Linked DNA regions of Lepisosteus oculatus. The protein of the gene in region 2 interacts with the protein of the main gene of each other region in a biochemical or structural test. Links are inferred from orthologs where the notes say so. Each region holds a gene or a part of one and is shown on either strand. Other genes may lie near its edges.

Region 1 (8,266 bases), about 14 Mb from region 2:
GTGAACACCGGCCCGCTCATGTCGCCCACTTTCAGTGCGAAGGAGGCGTCCTCAAACGGCTTCTGCATCTGGCCTGCAATTGCAGGGGAGAGAAATTTTTTTTTAGAAAAAAAAAAGATATACGTCATTCCTAATTCTGGATCTCCATTTCTGGGGGTTCTTCGTTGATCTCATTAACAGCGCGGCACGCCAGTCGGCCAGCTGAAGAAAACGGAGGAAGGCCGATTACACGAGCTCAACACTTCCTGCCAAAATAAGGACCGGCATCACCTGCGCTCCACCGTACTCAAGTTACTGATCATCCCCACCTCCTTCTCGGGCCAAAAGCACACTTGAAAATGCGATTGTCATTACAAAGTAACATCTCTATATAGATGACTGAGCGGGGAGCTACGTCAGCTTGCTCTGGCTGCAAAGGGACAAGTAGAGCTTAACTCCGCCCTGAAAAACAGAAAGAGGAAAACGTTTTGGCTGTCAAGCCTGAAGAAGGAATTAGCCTTCACATACTCCTACACAGACTGACTGTGAGCACAACAGTCCTTACGGAGAAACACAAAGAAGTCCTTGGTCCTAAAAGACCAAAGAGGGATCACGATCCAGCGTCACAGTTTCACTTCTCACTGAACCGCTGCACCTCTGCCGTGAGGCGTGGAGTCGGAAGGACAGCGACAGACAGGGACTCACCTCGGCCGAACGTGCCCAGGTCTCCGCCATTGCGCGCCGAGCTGCAGTCGCTGAACTGGGACGCCAGGCTCTCAAACTCCTCCTCCCCGGACTTGATCTTCTCGATGTACTCTGGGAAAGGAAAAAGGGAGGGAGACAGTAAGACTACGAGGGGGCCTGAGGGCCTGGAGAAAGGAGAGGAAAAGCAGAGCGACCTCCTCACAAACGCTGACATCCTCAAAACGGTACATGACTATGGAGCAGCGGCGTTTTATTTGCAAGTAAAAACGTGATTTCAGGAGACATAAGTAAGAGCTGCAGAGTTAAGAACACTCAACTTACTAAATGCTCACTTGAACTCTTTGACTTAGATGTTGCCAAATACTGATATGCCTGTGCCTCCTCTTTTTTGTGCCCAGTGATTTGTCACAGTCTTGCACTCTATTCCTGGTAATTCTACTAGGATGGCTTCCTCCAGAAGATAAACATCAAAAAGAAGACCAACCAAATCTATTCCAGGGATTAAGGAAACGTCCGACACTGATGGGCTGAAGGAACTGTGGATGCTGCACATGGTGGTGGTGGACAGGAGTCCCCATTACCTGTAAAGCGCTTTGAGTGGAGTGTCCAGAAAAGCGCTATATAAGTGTAAGCAATTATTATTATTATTAACTGAACCTTTTGAGGTCTTCAGAGAAGACCAAAAAGGAACAATACAGACTTTCAAAATCTTCAAAGGCGTCAACAAAGTCAGCCCAGTGGTGCTCTTCACATTGAACAGCGAAACCCGAACCAGGGGAAGTGCACACAAAACCAAGAACAGGAGGCACTTCTTTACCCAAAGGGTGGTGGGAGTATGGAACAAGCTGCCCTGCCGTGCTGTTGAAGCCAATTCCTCTTGGCTTCTTGCAAGAAACTGCTGGCTGAGATCCATGGATTACTGGCTACTGACAATCAAGCTAGCTAGATGGGCTGAATGCTCTCCCTCTCCCCCACCCCCCGTTTGTAACTGTTCTTATGGCCATATTCTAACGCAGCGGGGCTCAGGACAGGAGTCAGTTTTGCTGTGTGCAGGACTCAAGAGCTGCGCATGCACATGCTAATAGGCGGAGAGGGCCCCGAGTCTCGGGCCTGGGCTGCTCACGGTGTATGAGTTCCAGGGCCTCCTCCTTCGTCCGGGTGACGGTCTCCTGTCGCCAAGACGACGGCCGGCGGGACTGGTTGTGCTTGACCAGCAGGTGGGAGCAGCGCACCTTCTCGGGCTCCCCCTTGCCATCCCCGGCCCCAGTGGGCCTCTCCCATTGGCTGGCGTTGGTGATGTGATTGAAGTAGTACACCCGACCTGCAGGGGGAGAGAGAGAACATCAGGAGTGAGCTAGAAGCCAGAAACCAATGAAAATAAGACCACTAAAAAAAAAAAAAAAGATATGAGGGCAGCCTAAAAAAAAGGAAGAAATACTTTTTATAAAGGGCATTCCAAGTATTGAACTCCCATACAGCTTTATAAAAATTAAAAGCTTCCAGAGTGCCCTAACACAACGACTGCGTGTAAGTGTATTGTACACATCAGTAACGAGCTCCCAGTCAAGAGGAGTCATAGGTAATGAACCGGACCTGGACCGGACCGAGTGATGTCCTCTTTCTCAAACTGTATTTTGATTACACTGAGTTTGTCTCCCCAATTCGGAAAGCAGGTGACTGGACTGTCTGGAAGCCAAGAGGCATTATCCCGCACGTCCATTGCGGTCCCATTGCTGCCGTGACGCAGAAGACGAATCCGTCAAAACAAACACAGAAACCGAAGGATGTGCTGCGCCCGACGGAAGGTCATTTCCGTCAACAAACCTTCGAATCGATCTTATGAGCCTGTTTATTACGGGAAAAAAACCGGACAGGAGACTGACTTGGCCTGGACGTTTGAAGGAGTGGGCGTTTTGGGCGATTTATAACCCCCGCCCCCCTCCTCCCCGTTTTCAAAACGTTTCCCTTTTCTTGTGTTTTCATTTTAAAAATGTGCTTAAAAGCAAAACCACAGACTCATATTTCCCCATCAATGACGGCTTGGCACAATTTTAAACCCTCTTTCGGCAAAGGCGCAAAAAAGAAGCTCTGCACCGTTGCTTTCTAAGCAACTCATTCGCAACGCATTCAAAACACGAAACTATCTCCTGCACCCCACAGTGCGTGTGAACAAACATTTTGCACGGCGGGGGAAATTAAAAAAAACATTATTTGCAGCCTTACTTAACAATTTTAATTGTGATCAGAGTCTGCTCTTCAGGATCCGAATGCTAGCGCATAACGGACTTTTTTTTATAAATAAAAAAGTTTACAATTTGGGAGCGCCCAGGGTTAAAAAAAACAACCAAAAAGATTTCCGCCCCTTTGTTATTATAATCTCGGTGAGCCTGGGTTTCATTTACCTGAACTGCGGCTCATTCGCTTCTCCCACCCCGCAGGTAAATTCTCGTCGTCTGCCATTTTCTCTGCGCACACCAGAGGCCAACTCCCCCTCTTCTCACACAAACTACTTTTATAACTGGCCGCCTCGAAAGTGACGGGCAGCTTTTCCTACCACCCTATTCGACAACACGGATAGTCGGGGGCAGTAAGGGCTGTCACTATTTGGTCTCCCAGGGAAAAAAAAGCCCGCGCCCGCAATGAATACAAACTACAAAAAAAACTACTGCATTGTGTTGTTCGCATTGCAAATAACTGGTGGTGCCGGTTCATATCTACTGGTGTATTGCCTTTAATATGCAATTTCTACGGCTTGCTTTTATACAATTAGTTAATTTATCTAAACACTATTAAAATTAATTTATAATAGTTGTATGTCGCGGTCTTTATCTGATTTTGGAAACAACAATATTGCCGAAAATGTAGTTATGGACATTAAGGTTTTTAAGAGAAAGACACTAAAGTGAAGCTGTGTCTGTGTGTCCGCCATGTTGGCTTCCAACTCGATACATTTTAGCATCTGATGGACGTTACACGACTGAGCCAAAATGGCGTTAGTTGCAATTTACCCGCAAAACGAGATGTTATTCACGTTAATCTAATACACTTTACGGCAGAAAACTAACATGCTCAAATCCCCGCCTTTCAGGATTAAAAGAACACAGGGATTGGCTAACATATACATCTGTCAGATTCCGAAAGTAGTCTATCATTGGTTAATGTCCTTTCCTTTTCCGTTTTAGAGCGGGTATCCTTCCTGCCAGTGTTGGTATGGTATTCTGTTATTTTTTTCGGTGGGCGAAGAGAAGTGTATTATTTAAAGTGGATTAGTTGAAACAAAAGGTAGATCTATTTTATCGCGATCTTTACAAAGTGCTGTCATTTTATAGTGTGTTCAGGACATTCCATAGCTAAGGAAAGTCTCATTTAAGATGTTCACAGCATTGTGCCGTAAAGTAAATAAACGTGCAGGTAAATTAATGTTGTCTCTAATTCAGATAGCGTCGAGGAGGGGGTGATTAGATCATGCATGACTGCAGCAGTTTCATTCTCATAGGGATCGGCATTGCGGCACAAGAAGAGTTGTGACGGCAAATAACATTCGTGTAGCTGTAGGAACTACAAGCGTGTCTGTGCCATGATCCCAGCTGCGACTGTAAGCGCTCTGCGTCTTTATTTCCAGGTTCCGGCCTCGCAATGATTGAAGTGGTGTGTAACGACCGTCTGGGCAAGAAGGTCAGGGTGAAGTGCAAGTATCCTTGATGGCAGTAATTGCGTTAAAACAAGTGTCTCAAAACTAAAAACAAACGCTGACTGCACTATTTGTGCCTCCAATGTGAAAGCTCGGTGTCCTAACGCCGTTCAGTAAAAGCTAGCTTCCTCACCTGGAATACAATAATATATGTGATCTATCTAAAGAAAGTTTTATTTTTAGTTACCGCTTCAGTCTTGATGTTGTTTTCCTCTTCGGTTAATGAAACCAGTCTGTTTTTCCTTCAACCAACTTTTCCTCTTCCAACTGTCATATTTGCTGGTCACTAGTTTTAGAGAAGTTGTTTCTAGAGGAGGTTTGACTAAAAAGCTTATTCAGACGAGGCTTTGTGTCCAGTTCTGAAGTTTCCACTTAACTCCTGCGCCCAGCCCTGACGACACGATCGGAGACTTGAAGAAGTTGATAGCTGCTCAGACTGGTACCAGGTGGGATAAAATCGTCTTGAAGAAATGGTGAGGATGCTTTGAATACCGAACTGCAAAAAGCTGTTTTAATGTGTACCTTTAGGGCATTTGTGTGTGTATCTCAAGGATAAAGTGGTCTAGATTGGTAAATTGACAAGTACTTATTTATCCTTTCTGCAGAAAAAACAGGTCATTCTGTCACAGGGGACTGCAGTATGGGATTTTGGAGAAACCTGTAAAGATAACAGAGTAGTGAACACCTTATGCCTTTGTTCCCTATCAATACACTTGGAATGTCCAAGACATGTAAAAGAATGTTAGCTTTCTTTCATTTAGTGTAAGAAGCATATTAAATGTTTTGAAGGATGTCTTTTTTTCACCCAGTAGCATTTTCAATGCTTTGTTTCACAACTGAAAACATTTTTAATCCTGTCTCTTAAATTCTGTCATTGCAGGTACACTATATTCAAGGACCATGTATCGTTAGGAGACTGTATCCTTTTTTTTAATCGTTTTGTTTGAATGTATAAAGTAAAGGTATATCAATCAGGTTTAAGATGAGCCTCCCTGTTCTGAATAATTCCTTGCACTTTTCTGGACACTCCACTTAATGTTTAAGTATTGGGGACTCCCCTCCACCACCACCACCACCAGTGTGCAGCCCCACCTGGATGATGTTACAGCAGCCATAGCGTGTCAGTACACTCGCCACACACCAGCTCTCGGGGGAGGAGAACAGAGTGATGAAGCCAGTTCAGGCATGGGGATTATTAGGAGGCCATGATTGGTAAAGGAGGAATTCTGGCCAGGACACCAGGGTAACACCCCTAAACGTTTCAAGAAACGCCCTGGGATTTTTAATGACCACCGAGTCAGTACCTCAGTTTTATGTCCCATCCGAAGGATGGTGTCTTCCTACATTACAGTGTCCCCGTCACTATACTGGGACATTAAGACCCTCACAGACTGCAGGGTGAGCGTCCCCTGCTGGCCTCTCTAATACCTATTCCAGCAGAAACCTTAGTTTCACATGCAGTTACTGATCATGCTCACCCCTGCTTAGCTTTAGTGGTTTGCCAGTTGTGAGTTGCAGGGTGATATGGCTGTTGGCATAATCCATTGGCCCAGTTTGCTGAACTAAATACATACAGCTAGCATTAGCATTTGGTGATGAATTTCTGCAGTAAAAGTGGCAAAACTATTATGTATCCCATTGAGATCAAATGCAAAGTAACTGTTATGGAATTGATTGGTTTAATCGAGTGATGGTTGTGCAGGCAGGGCAGGCTGGGTTCTTGCATTTTGAAAGGTCCGCTGAAAGCCTTGAGGTGCTTTTGCTTGCATAATGAATACAGGCTGTTTAGACTGGTGAGCAGGAGATCCTAGGAACCCAGGAACCTGTAAAATTTCAGCCCAACTTGCAGCACAAACTGCACGTGACCATGTCAGTTTTGTGAAGCTTGCACACATCTGTGATTTCAGACATCAGCATTGGCACCTTGTGTCTTAAATGAATTATCCAGAGCATCCCAATCAAGACTCCTTAGTGCCAGGCTCTGGGATGAGAAAATGTTCAGTAAGGTTATTTAACAACCTTTGGATTTGACAGGTTGATTAACAGTTTCTATTGCAGGTTGTGAATACTTACTGTACATTAAACTAATTTAGTTGCAAAACATGACTGGGGATTTGCAAAGACTTATCAGATTTTTCCTTTGATCTATTGTGCAGCCTGTGATTCAGCCTCCATTCTGTTATAGTAGTAGTGCTTTGGTTCTAAGCATGTAAGCAGCAGAGCCCCATCAAGGGCATAATGTGCTTTTTTCCTTAATTTTGCTTCTCTAAACAGATGAAATCCATGATGGAATGAACCTGGAGCTGTATTACCAGTAGACATACTGAGCCACAAATTGCTTTAGGGATGGTAAAATTCCTCAGTCCTTGCTGAACTCGCAGATGTAAACCCTTTCTGAACATGCAAGTTTGTATTGAAGCAGCAAAGATACATTTTTTTCCATTGTTAATGATTAGGAAGTAAATTGTCTCAACATCAGGCTTTTGTTCTGCTAAATATTTTGTTTTGATATTGTTTTAAAAATAAAATCTGGTATTTATATACAACATGGTCTTTATGGACTTGGTTTGTCTGTGCTGGGCAGTGTTATTTAGTGGTTTTGTTCCAGCTACGTTCTGAATATCTTAATTAGAAAGCATTAACATGGTTTTGAGATTTTAAGTCTACCTATAAAACCTGCAAAGGAGTACTGGGTAAGCTTCTGGACTTATAATTGACAGGCTGGGTTCAGGTCTCTATTGCAGACACTGCTAAAGTGAGGTACCTCACCTCAGCTGTATAAGTGGGGACCAGCATCACAATGTGGGTTACTTAGTCTATTCAATGCTACAGGAATTGCAAAAGTAAGGCTGAGCTCCGTCCCAATGAAACGCTGTGTTGGAGTATGGACTTTACCTACTATATTATAAAACCTGCAGAAGTACATCTTGCTAGAATCAGGGCTGTAGACTCTGGAACTATTCCATATCTCAGGGGTTCCCCACCTTTAGCTAACAAACTGCTTAACTGGAAACTGCACTTTTATTTTACTCAAAAGGTGGGTATCTTTGTTACAAAGCAGCCTCTCAACATGTTTAGGAATCAAAAACAAGTTCAGTTGTGGAAAGGAGCGTAGCTGGAACAAACATCAGAAAGCATGGGGGGTGAGGGGGTTCCCAGGAACAGGTTTGGGGACCCCATCCATTTCTCTATTCTCTAAGTGGTAAGCACATAGCCCACTGAAAGGAAAGTGAAGATGAACCCAAATGCATCTCTGGCCTGTTTTCCACACAGGCAGACTCCTGGGTTCGTCTGACACTCTTGTAAATACAGGCTGGCCTCATGGTTCACAGAAACTTTAGACATGGAAGCTGATTGAAACATCTGGCATTATATTTCTAGAAATATAGTGAAATATGTTTTCTGTGGTAAAGGAGTTGCAGGAACCTGTGCCAACTTTATCATCTTAAATATCAGAATTAAAAAATCTGCTCCTGTAATACAACCTGATTAATGAGTGCTACATATACAGTTCCTATCAATCACAGACCTTTAAATAAATATAAGGGGAAAACAAATGCATTATTTATTCAATAAGGACATTACATTCACTATACGTGTGCATTATTTTAAACGGTGTATCAAGACACAAACCAAGAAACTGAGCACAAATTTGGCAACACAGAACGGTCTTCTGGAAATCAGACTAATGATGAGAGGAGATGAGCAATGAATTTCCCACGCTATGCAACCTGCCCCTGCTTTACCTGAGTAAGCAGAAATCTGACAGTTCCCTGAAGTTTCAAGCAAAAACTGTTCCCGTAAGTCACAGTCGTAACTGGAAAACGCTGACAGCAGCCACATTTCCTCAACTGGGACAAAAAAGAAGAAGTTGCAGGTAGCTCCTCCTTC
Region 2 (8,387 bases):
GAGACACTGGGTCCTAACCAGTACTGCAGCTGCACCCTTTGGTTCTCAAAATCTGGTCTCGCAACCCTGCTCAGAATCGCTGAAGAAGACCAGTTCTTTACACCTAACATTAGAATTCTATAATTATAATGAGAAAATTATACTTTTGTGTTTACGTTCGTCTTAAGTTACCTAGGTCTGATGAAACAATGCAGTTGTGCTGTGTAGTCTGCGCTTCAATTTGCATTTTCCCCAAGATTGAGAACCTCAGAACACTCTCCTGGACAACCAGAGAAACACAAGGCCGCACTCACATTCTCCTTGTTGTTGAAACAGGGACTGCTGGGGCCCCGCGCGCCGGGGCTGAGACCGCCTGAGCCGACCTTAGGGCTGCTGCACAGCAACCTGGGCTGAGAAACAGAAACACAGAGAGCAGTGAACAGGAGTGACACACGTTCATCCAGGTGGCACGATTAGCAGATGACAGTTAGATAGCCAGCAGACTTATCACCCCGCAGCTCACACTAGCAGCCCGCTGAAGCCCAGCAGGTGTGGAGGGGAGACCTCCTGGGAAAGCTAAGGTTGCTGCTGGAAAGGTGTGAGAGGGGCCAGCAGGGGGCACTCACCCACTGGACTATGTGGGTCCTAACACCCCAGTATAGTGACAGGGACATACTGCAAAAAATGCACTGTCCTTCAGACGAGAGGTAAAACCAAGGTCTTGACTCTCTGTGGTCATTAAAAACCCCAAGTCGTTTCTGAAAAAGAGTAGGGGTGTTACCCCGGCATCCTGGCCAAATTCCCCCCTGGCCTTTACCCATGATGGCCTCCTGATAATCCCCATCTCTGAGCTGGCTTCATCACTCTGTTCTCCTCCCCACTGAGAGCTGGTGTGTGGTGAGCACACTGGAGCATCATCCAGGTGGGGCTGCACACTGGTGGTGGTGCAGGGGATCCCCCTTACCTGTAGAGCACTCTGAGTGCAGTATCCAGGAAAGCGCTATATAAGTGTATGGAATTATTAAGCATTATAATTCTTAGTGAAATAGCACAGCCCAGGACCCAGATCTCGGGGACAAGGTGACTCAGGGAGCCGACTGCAGGAACCCGAACCCCTGGCCTAGAGAGGGGGCTGATCTCTTACCAGCATGGACTTCAAGCGCTTCATATGGCCCTTCCTGGAAGAGAGAGAGAACAGCAGGCATGAGGCCGAGCAGACGACCGGTCATCCACAGACCCGCTTGGCCACCCGACCCGTCGGGCCAAGCACGCGGCCAGCCGGGCAACCACAGCGACGGCCCGGCAGGGAACCGAACGCCTCGTTAACGACCCCGTTCGGAGCGAAGAGTCGCCGGCAGAGGCCGGGCTGAGAAGGATACTCGTGACGGAGCGAGACTCGGGCGCTGCCTTCCAGAGCCTCAGCAGGGCTGTCAGTGAGACTCCTGATCCACTCCCGGCTTCACAGTTTACTACAGTCACGGACACTACTTAAGGAACAGGAGAAGGACATCAGCCATACTGTCTAGGGCCCAGTGTGGGCCATGCGGCATGTTACTGACCATCAGTGCTCTCTCTGTCGAACCTGTCATTTCAGCTTTTACTTGATCTGTAATGTCCGCCCATCCCATCTCACCCCCTCCTCCCCACTGCCGCCCCCTCCCCTCTGCCCCCACACACTCACTTGTTTTTCTCCGAGTCGGGGGTCACTTTCTGGGGGAAACTGGGAAGACAGAAGAAAGCAAAACTGGATTAAAAAGTTACAATCACGTACAGATAGACCCGGCTGTGGACAGCGGGGCCAGAGAGAGAGAGACCCAGATGTGGACAGCGGGGCCAGAGAGAGAGAGACCCAGATGTGGACAGCGGGGCCAGAGAGAGAGAGACCCAGATGTGGACAGCGGGGCCAGAGAGAGAGAGACCCAGATGTGGACAGCGGGGCCAGAGAGAGAGAGACCCAGATGTGGACAGCGGGGCCAGAGAGAGAGAGACCCAGATGTGGACAGCGGGGCCAGAGAGAGAGAGACCCAGATGTGGACAGCGGGGCCAGAGAGAGAGAGACCCAGATGTGGACAGCGGGGCCAGAGAGAGAGAGACCCAGATGTGGACAGCGGGGCCAGAGAGAGAGAGCCAGATGTGGACAGCGGGGCCAGAGAGAGACTCGGCGGCGGTCAGCAGACACTGGAAGGAGTTACCTCGGGGCCGGAGAGTCTGGGGGACCGCGGGGGGAAAGCAGCTGGTCTGGGGAGACACAAACGCAGACAGACATGAGGACGGAGACAGGAGGCGCCGGGGAGACAGCCGGCTCGGCTCGGGTGGACAGGACGGACTGACCGCTGTGCGCCGGGATCGGGGCGTCGCCGTCGCTGAGGCCCGACAGGTCCAGACACCGCCGGGGGGTGTCTCTGAAAGACACGGGCGAGGAGGTTATTGCCCGGGGCGCGGGGCACGGGGGACGGGGGAGGCCGGACCTGCACTCACCCGCTCTGGAAGGCGTTCAGGCTGCCGAGGCTGTGCGTGAGCTCGGATACCGGGGACAGCAGGCGCTCCGGGGAGCCGGCCTCCCCCTCTCTCGCCAGGCTGAGCAGCATCCGGCAGCCGGCGCGGAAGGACAGGCCCTCGCTCATCCTGACTCGGCGGCGCCCTGCGCTGCGGCCGGGGCTCGGGTCCCTCTCCTGCGCGTGTTTCCCCGAGACCGCTTTCCTGCTGCGTTGCTCGCGGCGCAGGCGATTCTCGAACCGTCGGCAGCCGGAACCGGGCGTCTCGCGCCTGCCTGCGACCCTCGCCCGCTCCCTCTCACGCCGACTGCGAAAGAATAAGGACACACGGCGCCCTGCGCTCGGATTGCGTCTCTCGGTTGGAATAAAACTCCAGGCGAACGCTAATACAGAGCAGAAAGTGGTGCTGTAGTTACAACACATAGGTCTTCAGTGCTGCCCCTTTCCTCTTGATAGCAAAAAAAACCCGGTGCATTTCAGACATCGTGCTAACAAATGAACGAAATTATGTTTAAATGCATCTTAATACTTGATGGAAAATTTATATTTTCTTATCTACTAATCTTAAGCTTGCGATTCCGTAACAATCCCTCCTTTCCTGTAAAACCCTCCATTACATTCCCCCAAACTCCCCAACACAGGATTTTAAATTTCACGCGCTGCGATCCGCCAATCACGGATCACGCTCCGCAGCACGACGTCCGCGAAACGTGAGTCAAAGCACGCTCACGACAGCGTTTCCGGACGCTGCAGGTCTACTGGTCCATTCTGCTGTCCATCAAAGCGTGCCCCGAGGAAGGAGGGGCTGGAGAGCTACGGCGCTGAAGGCTATTGGCCGGAAAGCTCAACCACGCTGGAGAAGTATCATACGGCCCGTGATGTTTGTTCGTGGTTTTTGTGTTATGTAGTTAAAACACGCGGAATATCTGTACGTTTAACGACATAAAGAGTCAGTTTAAAGAGAGCTCCTTCAAGAAAAATGCTGCCTAAATGTAATTCGTGTTTTGCAGACTCCCACGCGTTGTTATCTGTAGGAATAACAATGAATCAGAGACAGATCCACGGGTGGTTTCCAACCAAAGGGTGATTTTTATTGAATTAACTCGATAAGTGGGTTCAAACTTTTAACAGCAGGTCAGGACAAAATGCAAGGGTATCACCCACAGCGGTCCTGAAAACTGCAGCGTGAACTGCAGTGAACCTGTTGCGTGATTTTAGCCAAGAGAGGAGGTGTGTGCAGAGTAGGACTGGACGAGGAGGAACCGTCATCAGCACAACAAAGAATGGATTCCTTTTCTGCGACACTGTCTTTTCCAACATCTTCGGGGGGGGGCTTACAGTTGAGTCTGTTTCCCCCCCAAGTTGCAGAAAGTCTTAAGATAAAAATGCGACCCAATTATAATTGGGGGTGGGGAAAAAACAACCTAAATGGAATGAGAAAAAAATATATCTTAAAAACCTTTGTTTTCACTAGAATGTTGTTGAGCTGTGATGTGTCTCCCAGCTCTGCCGCCCTGTTGACCATCGGGGTACGGGGGGGTAGGGGAGGGACTGTCTCCCTCCCCTGGGGGGCAGTGTTGAGCAGCACAGCACCTGCAGCAGTGATGTCACACGCCCCGTCTGGGGATCCCCCACCCCAGCAACACCATGAGCTCTGACTGCAGGAGCTCCAGGGGCACCTCAGCCTGGGCTACTGGCCTTGCAACAGCCTCATTGAAGTGGGCCTGGTCTCTCGGACCCGGATCAGGGTCGATTTGGGTCAGTAAGGTGGTGCTGAAATGTAGATTAATGAAACAAATTGCTTCACAACAAACTGTACTTAAGATCAATGGTTGTGTGTGTTCAATACCTTTGCTCAGATTTATAGCTACAGCGTGGACCGTCTGAAAATGTGAGAGTCATGTACATCATGCATCACAGATCACCTGATACTCAGGAAACTGCATGATGAGCTCCTAAGACTAGCTAACACCCACTGCAGTCACACGTTTAGAGATGTCTTTCAATGGAACTGACTGACAGGATTGTCTTTTTGTGATCAATATATTTATATTTCTGAGTCTGGAATTTTATTTTTTTTACTTGTACATCAACACTGTGAATTGTTTTTCTTCTAATAAAAGCAGCCTTGTTTGGCCCTGTGGGGGGGGTGTAATGAGGATAGTCCAGAGCACCTACTACATCAGGAAATCCCACTGGAAAAAAAAGCTTTGATCAGAGTACATAGCTACAGGGAACAGAAGCTACATGGCCAGTGCTCAATATTGACATGCTATATGTACGAGCAGTACAAACAGTGCATGGGCTTAAGGTAGTCAGTGTAGAGTATACTCTGTCTGCAGATAAGACATCTTTCAAATAAAAATGATCAGCAATCTGTAAATGGCGATCTCAAAACTTTAATTCTCTCCGAAAACTCTAACGTCAGCTGGAGCCTGATGAAAAGTGACGGCATTTTTTTTTTGCGTGAGTCTGCTCTATGAGCCGAGCTCTTAACCACAAAGCCAGATTAAATTTGATTTAAACTGCCCCGGAGAAGGTTAACTAATAGAAGATATGTTGATATACTTATAAACCCCGATATAAACCAACTGTGCTTCCGTGAAAGCCAAAAACCGGACTTTGTCAACACGTTTACTAAACTCACCCGGCTAAATGAAACATTCCTTACATCTTATTTAATTTCTGATACAGTTCAGTGACATATCTCCTCTTGCTTCGTATAAATATGCTAATTATAAAACACTATTAAAGAAACTCTTCATTTTCCTAGCGGCTCTTGTTAATAAAACAACCCGCACAAATTCGAGCTCAGACTCTCAGTTTTTATTGGTTGGACTGAGTGTCGCCAAAGCGGAAGTCCAGCCCTGCTTCCTGTGTCCACCCGCGCGGAGCCCCGCCCCCGGTCACCTGGCGGGTATTTAAGCCCCCAGGCGGCGGCAGATCAGTTTGGCTGTTACTATAGCCCCGAACAGCATGACCAGCAGCTTTCACCCCGCTTCGCCAAGCCCGCCGGACCACAGGTCTGGAGCGCTTGCGTGTGCACGCGTTTCTTGCGCCGAGTGACGAGTTGATTCCCGATCCGGTTTCTGGAGGCGCGGGCGGGCGGGCCGGCGCGCGGACGAGCTGCGGTCTGTCCCGGGGCGTGTTCTCGGGACAGCGCGCGCCCGCTCCGTCTGCGTCACGGCCCGCGAGCCCTCCCCCCGGAAGTGCCCGGGGGAGAGGTGGCGTTGTCTCCGCCCGTTCCGCCGGTCCCTGTGTCGGCAAGGCACTGCCGTCTAACTGTCTCCCCTGCGCTTCCTCCTGCAGGCTGTGGCCGGTACCGGCCTGGCCCGGTGCCCTAGACCTGGACCTGGCCTGTTGGGACCCGCTGCCCCAGACCTGCATGCCAGAGCCCTGGCTGCTCCCGGGCTGCAGCTCCGTGTACAACAGGCTGGTGAGGTGAGGGGCGCTGACCCACTCCTGGGCACTTCTCTGCACAGACTCGGGCTCAGGAGGAAGATCTAACTCCAAAAGCTTATTAGAGGCCAAAAGCTAAATAAGCTTGTAAGAATCCAGGGTATCAGCTTGTTCCACACTCCCACCACCCTCTGTGTAAAGTGCCTCCACTTCTCAGTGCTACATGCTCTTCCCTGTAGCTTCCACTGGTGTTCTCTGGTTTGCTTCTCTGGTTCTGAAGTCCCCCTGGTTGACTGTCGGAGTCTTTCAGGATTTGGGGGTGCTTGATTCAGGTCTGCGGTCTTCTGTTTAAGACTACGGAATCTGTCGCTGGACCCAGTCGCTGCAGGACAGGCCTCCGAGCCTGTGAAAGGAAGTCGTTACTCGTCTCCGGAGCATCTTGTCTTCGAGAGTGTGGCGCTGAAATAACCTGGTGACCAGAACCGTCCTCAGCTCTCATTGAGGTCTTGCTGGAGTGTGACGCAGTTTCGACAGGGTTCGACTTGGTTTAGATCCTGCGCTGTTGACCCTGCGTCCTCTCTCTGCTGGCCTGTTTCCTCGCTTCCTCAGTGTCCGGCAGATGACCCCAGTGACCACGATGTGTCAACCCTACATCTCTCCCGGTCTCACAAGCAGCCTCTCCCAGCTCGGAGTGTTTTTCTCCGAGGCAGCTGCGGACAGGCGCTTGGGGTGTCCTCGAGTGTCTGTGTGGCTCTGCCTAGCCCTCTGCCTGCTGTGTGAGAAAAGGGGGGGCGTGGGGCACTACTGAGGTCCCTCATTCTCTGTTGCTCCCTGTAGCAGCTCCTCGGAGGCGGCGCAGCCCCAGTGCAGGATGACCGGAGAGTCTGACCAGGGGGGCGTCCCCCACAAACCTCACAGGTATGCCGTCTCGCCAGCAGGGGGCGCCCGTGCCGGTCTGGACTTGGGGCTACCCCTGTCCTGAGGCGTGGCGTTGGCAGTCGGGGGTGCGATCGGGGCGGAGGATGTGTAGGTTCGTGCGGGGTGCGAGGCGGGGGAAACGAGGCGCCCTGCAGAGAGGGGGCGCTCCCAGCTGAACACAGCGCCCCCTGGAGTCCCTGGAGTTGAAGTGACCTGTTAGCACCTGAGCAGTGGGGTCTTCTCAGTCTGAGAGCAGCGCAGCTGTTGGGGTGCCCTGGTGTGTGTGGTGTGTGTGTGTGTGTGTGTGTGTGTGTGTCAGGCCAGGAGCTGAGCAGAGCCCCCCAGCGGGATGTCCCGCCCGGGTCACAACCTGCTGTCTCCGTCCCCGCAGAGCGTCCATTCTGGAGCGCTGTATCCTGAGGCTGTCCACTGCCAGCGTCGCCGTGGGGACTGAGGACCTGGACCGGGCTGGGAGGTGAGGAGGAGGAGGGGTCCGCTCTGCACGTCCAGCTGGCTCTCCTGCTCCCCTCTCGTCTGCCCTGACACCGTGCGGGGGCCCCCCCCCTCGGCCTCCCCGTCCTCTCCGCAGCCCCCAGCCCGACGGCGCCCCCTGCTCCCGGGCCCTGGACCCGTCCCGCTGTGAGACCAACGAGGCGGTTCTGAAGCGCCGGCAGAAGCAGATCCAGTACGGCAAGAACACCAGCGGCTACCAGAACTACCTGCGGGAGGTCCCCAAGTAAGAGCACCCCCACACCCCGACACCCCCACACCCAGGACTACCTGCTCCAAGTAAGAGCACCCCCACACCCCGACACCCCCACACCCAGAACTACCCGCTCCAAGTAAGAGCACCCCCACACCCTGACACCCCCACACCCAGGACTACCTGCTCCAAGTAAGAGCACCCCCACACCCAGAACTACCTGCTCCAAGTAAGAGCACCCCCACACCCTGACACCCCCACACCCAGAACTACCTGCTCCAAGTAAGAGCACCCCCACACCCTGACACCCCCACACCCAGAACTACCTGCTCCAAGTAAGAGCACCCCCACACCCTGACACCCCCACACCCAGAACTACCTGCTCCAAGTAAGAGCACCCCCACACCCTGACACCCCCACACCCAGAACTACCTGCTCCAAGTAAGAGCACCCCCACACCCAGAACTACCTGCTCCAAGTAAGAGCGCCCCCACACCCTGACACCCCCACACCCAGAACTACCCGCTCCAAGTAAGAGCACCCCCACACCCCGACACCCCCACACCCAGAACTACCCGCTCCAAGTAAGAGCACCCCCACACCCCGACACCCCCACACCCAGGACTACCTGCTCCAAGTAAGAGCACCCCCACACCCAGAACTACCTGCTCCAAGTAAGAGCACCCCCACACCCTGACACCCCCACACCCAGAACTACCTGCTCCAAGTAAGAGCGCCCCCACACCCTGACACCCCCACACCCAGAACTACCCGCTCCAAGTAAGAGCACCCCCACACCCCGACACCCCCACACCCAGAACTACCCGCTCCAAGTAAGAGCACCCCCACACCCCGACACCCCCACACCCAGAACTACCCGCTCCAAGTAAGAG

Evidence for each region. The genes of interacting proteins can lie anywhere in the genome.
Region 1: the proteins of M-phase inducer phosphatase 1-B (region 2) and pin1 interact in a test that uses a peptide from one of them, tested with the Homo sapiens proteins (2 studies listed by BioGRID, with this or other methods). The link is inferred for Lepisosteus oculatus from reciprocal best matches to the Homo sapiens genes CDC25C and PIN1.

What each region holds. Positions count from the first base shown.
Region 1 is NC_090706.1:15,084,358-15,092,623, forward strand, and holds the start of pin1 (peptidyl-prolyl cis-trans isomerase NIMA-interacting 1), read right to left. Parts: upstream 3,220-8,266; 5' UTR 3,145-3,219; coding exon 3,087-3,144; intron 2,006-3,086; coding exon 1,808-2,005; intron 796-1,807; coding exon 685-795; intron 74-684; coding exon 1-73. UniProt on the Homo sapiens protein: Peptidyl-prolyl cis/trans isomerase (PPIase) that binds to and isomerizes specific phosphorylated Ser/Thr-Pro (pSer/Thr-Pro) motifs.
Region 2 is NC_090706.1:29,487,622-29,496,008, reverse strand, and holds the start of M-phase inducer phosphatase 1-B, read right to left. Parts: upstream 3,124-8,387; 5' UTR 2,898-3,123; coding exon 2,458-2,897; intron 2,382-2,457; coding exon 2,311-2,381; intron 2,218-2,310; coding exon 2,172-2,217; intron 1,700-2,171; coding exon 1,661-1,699; intron 1,158-1,660; coding exon 1,124-1,157; intron 390-1,123; coding exon 294-389; intron 1-293. Other genes in the region: slbp2 (stem-loop binding protein 2), read left to right, coding at 5,451-5,497, 5,784-5,915, 6,711-6,791, 7,183-7,266, 7,381-7,527. UniProt on the Homo sapiens protein: Functions as a dosage-dependent inducer in mitotic control. Tyrosine protein phosphatase required for progression of the cell cycle. When phosphorylated, highly effective in activating G2 cells into prophase.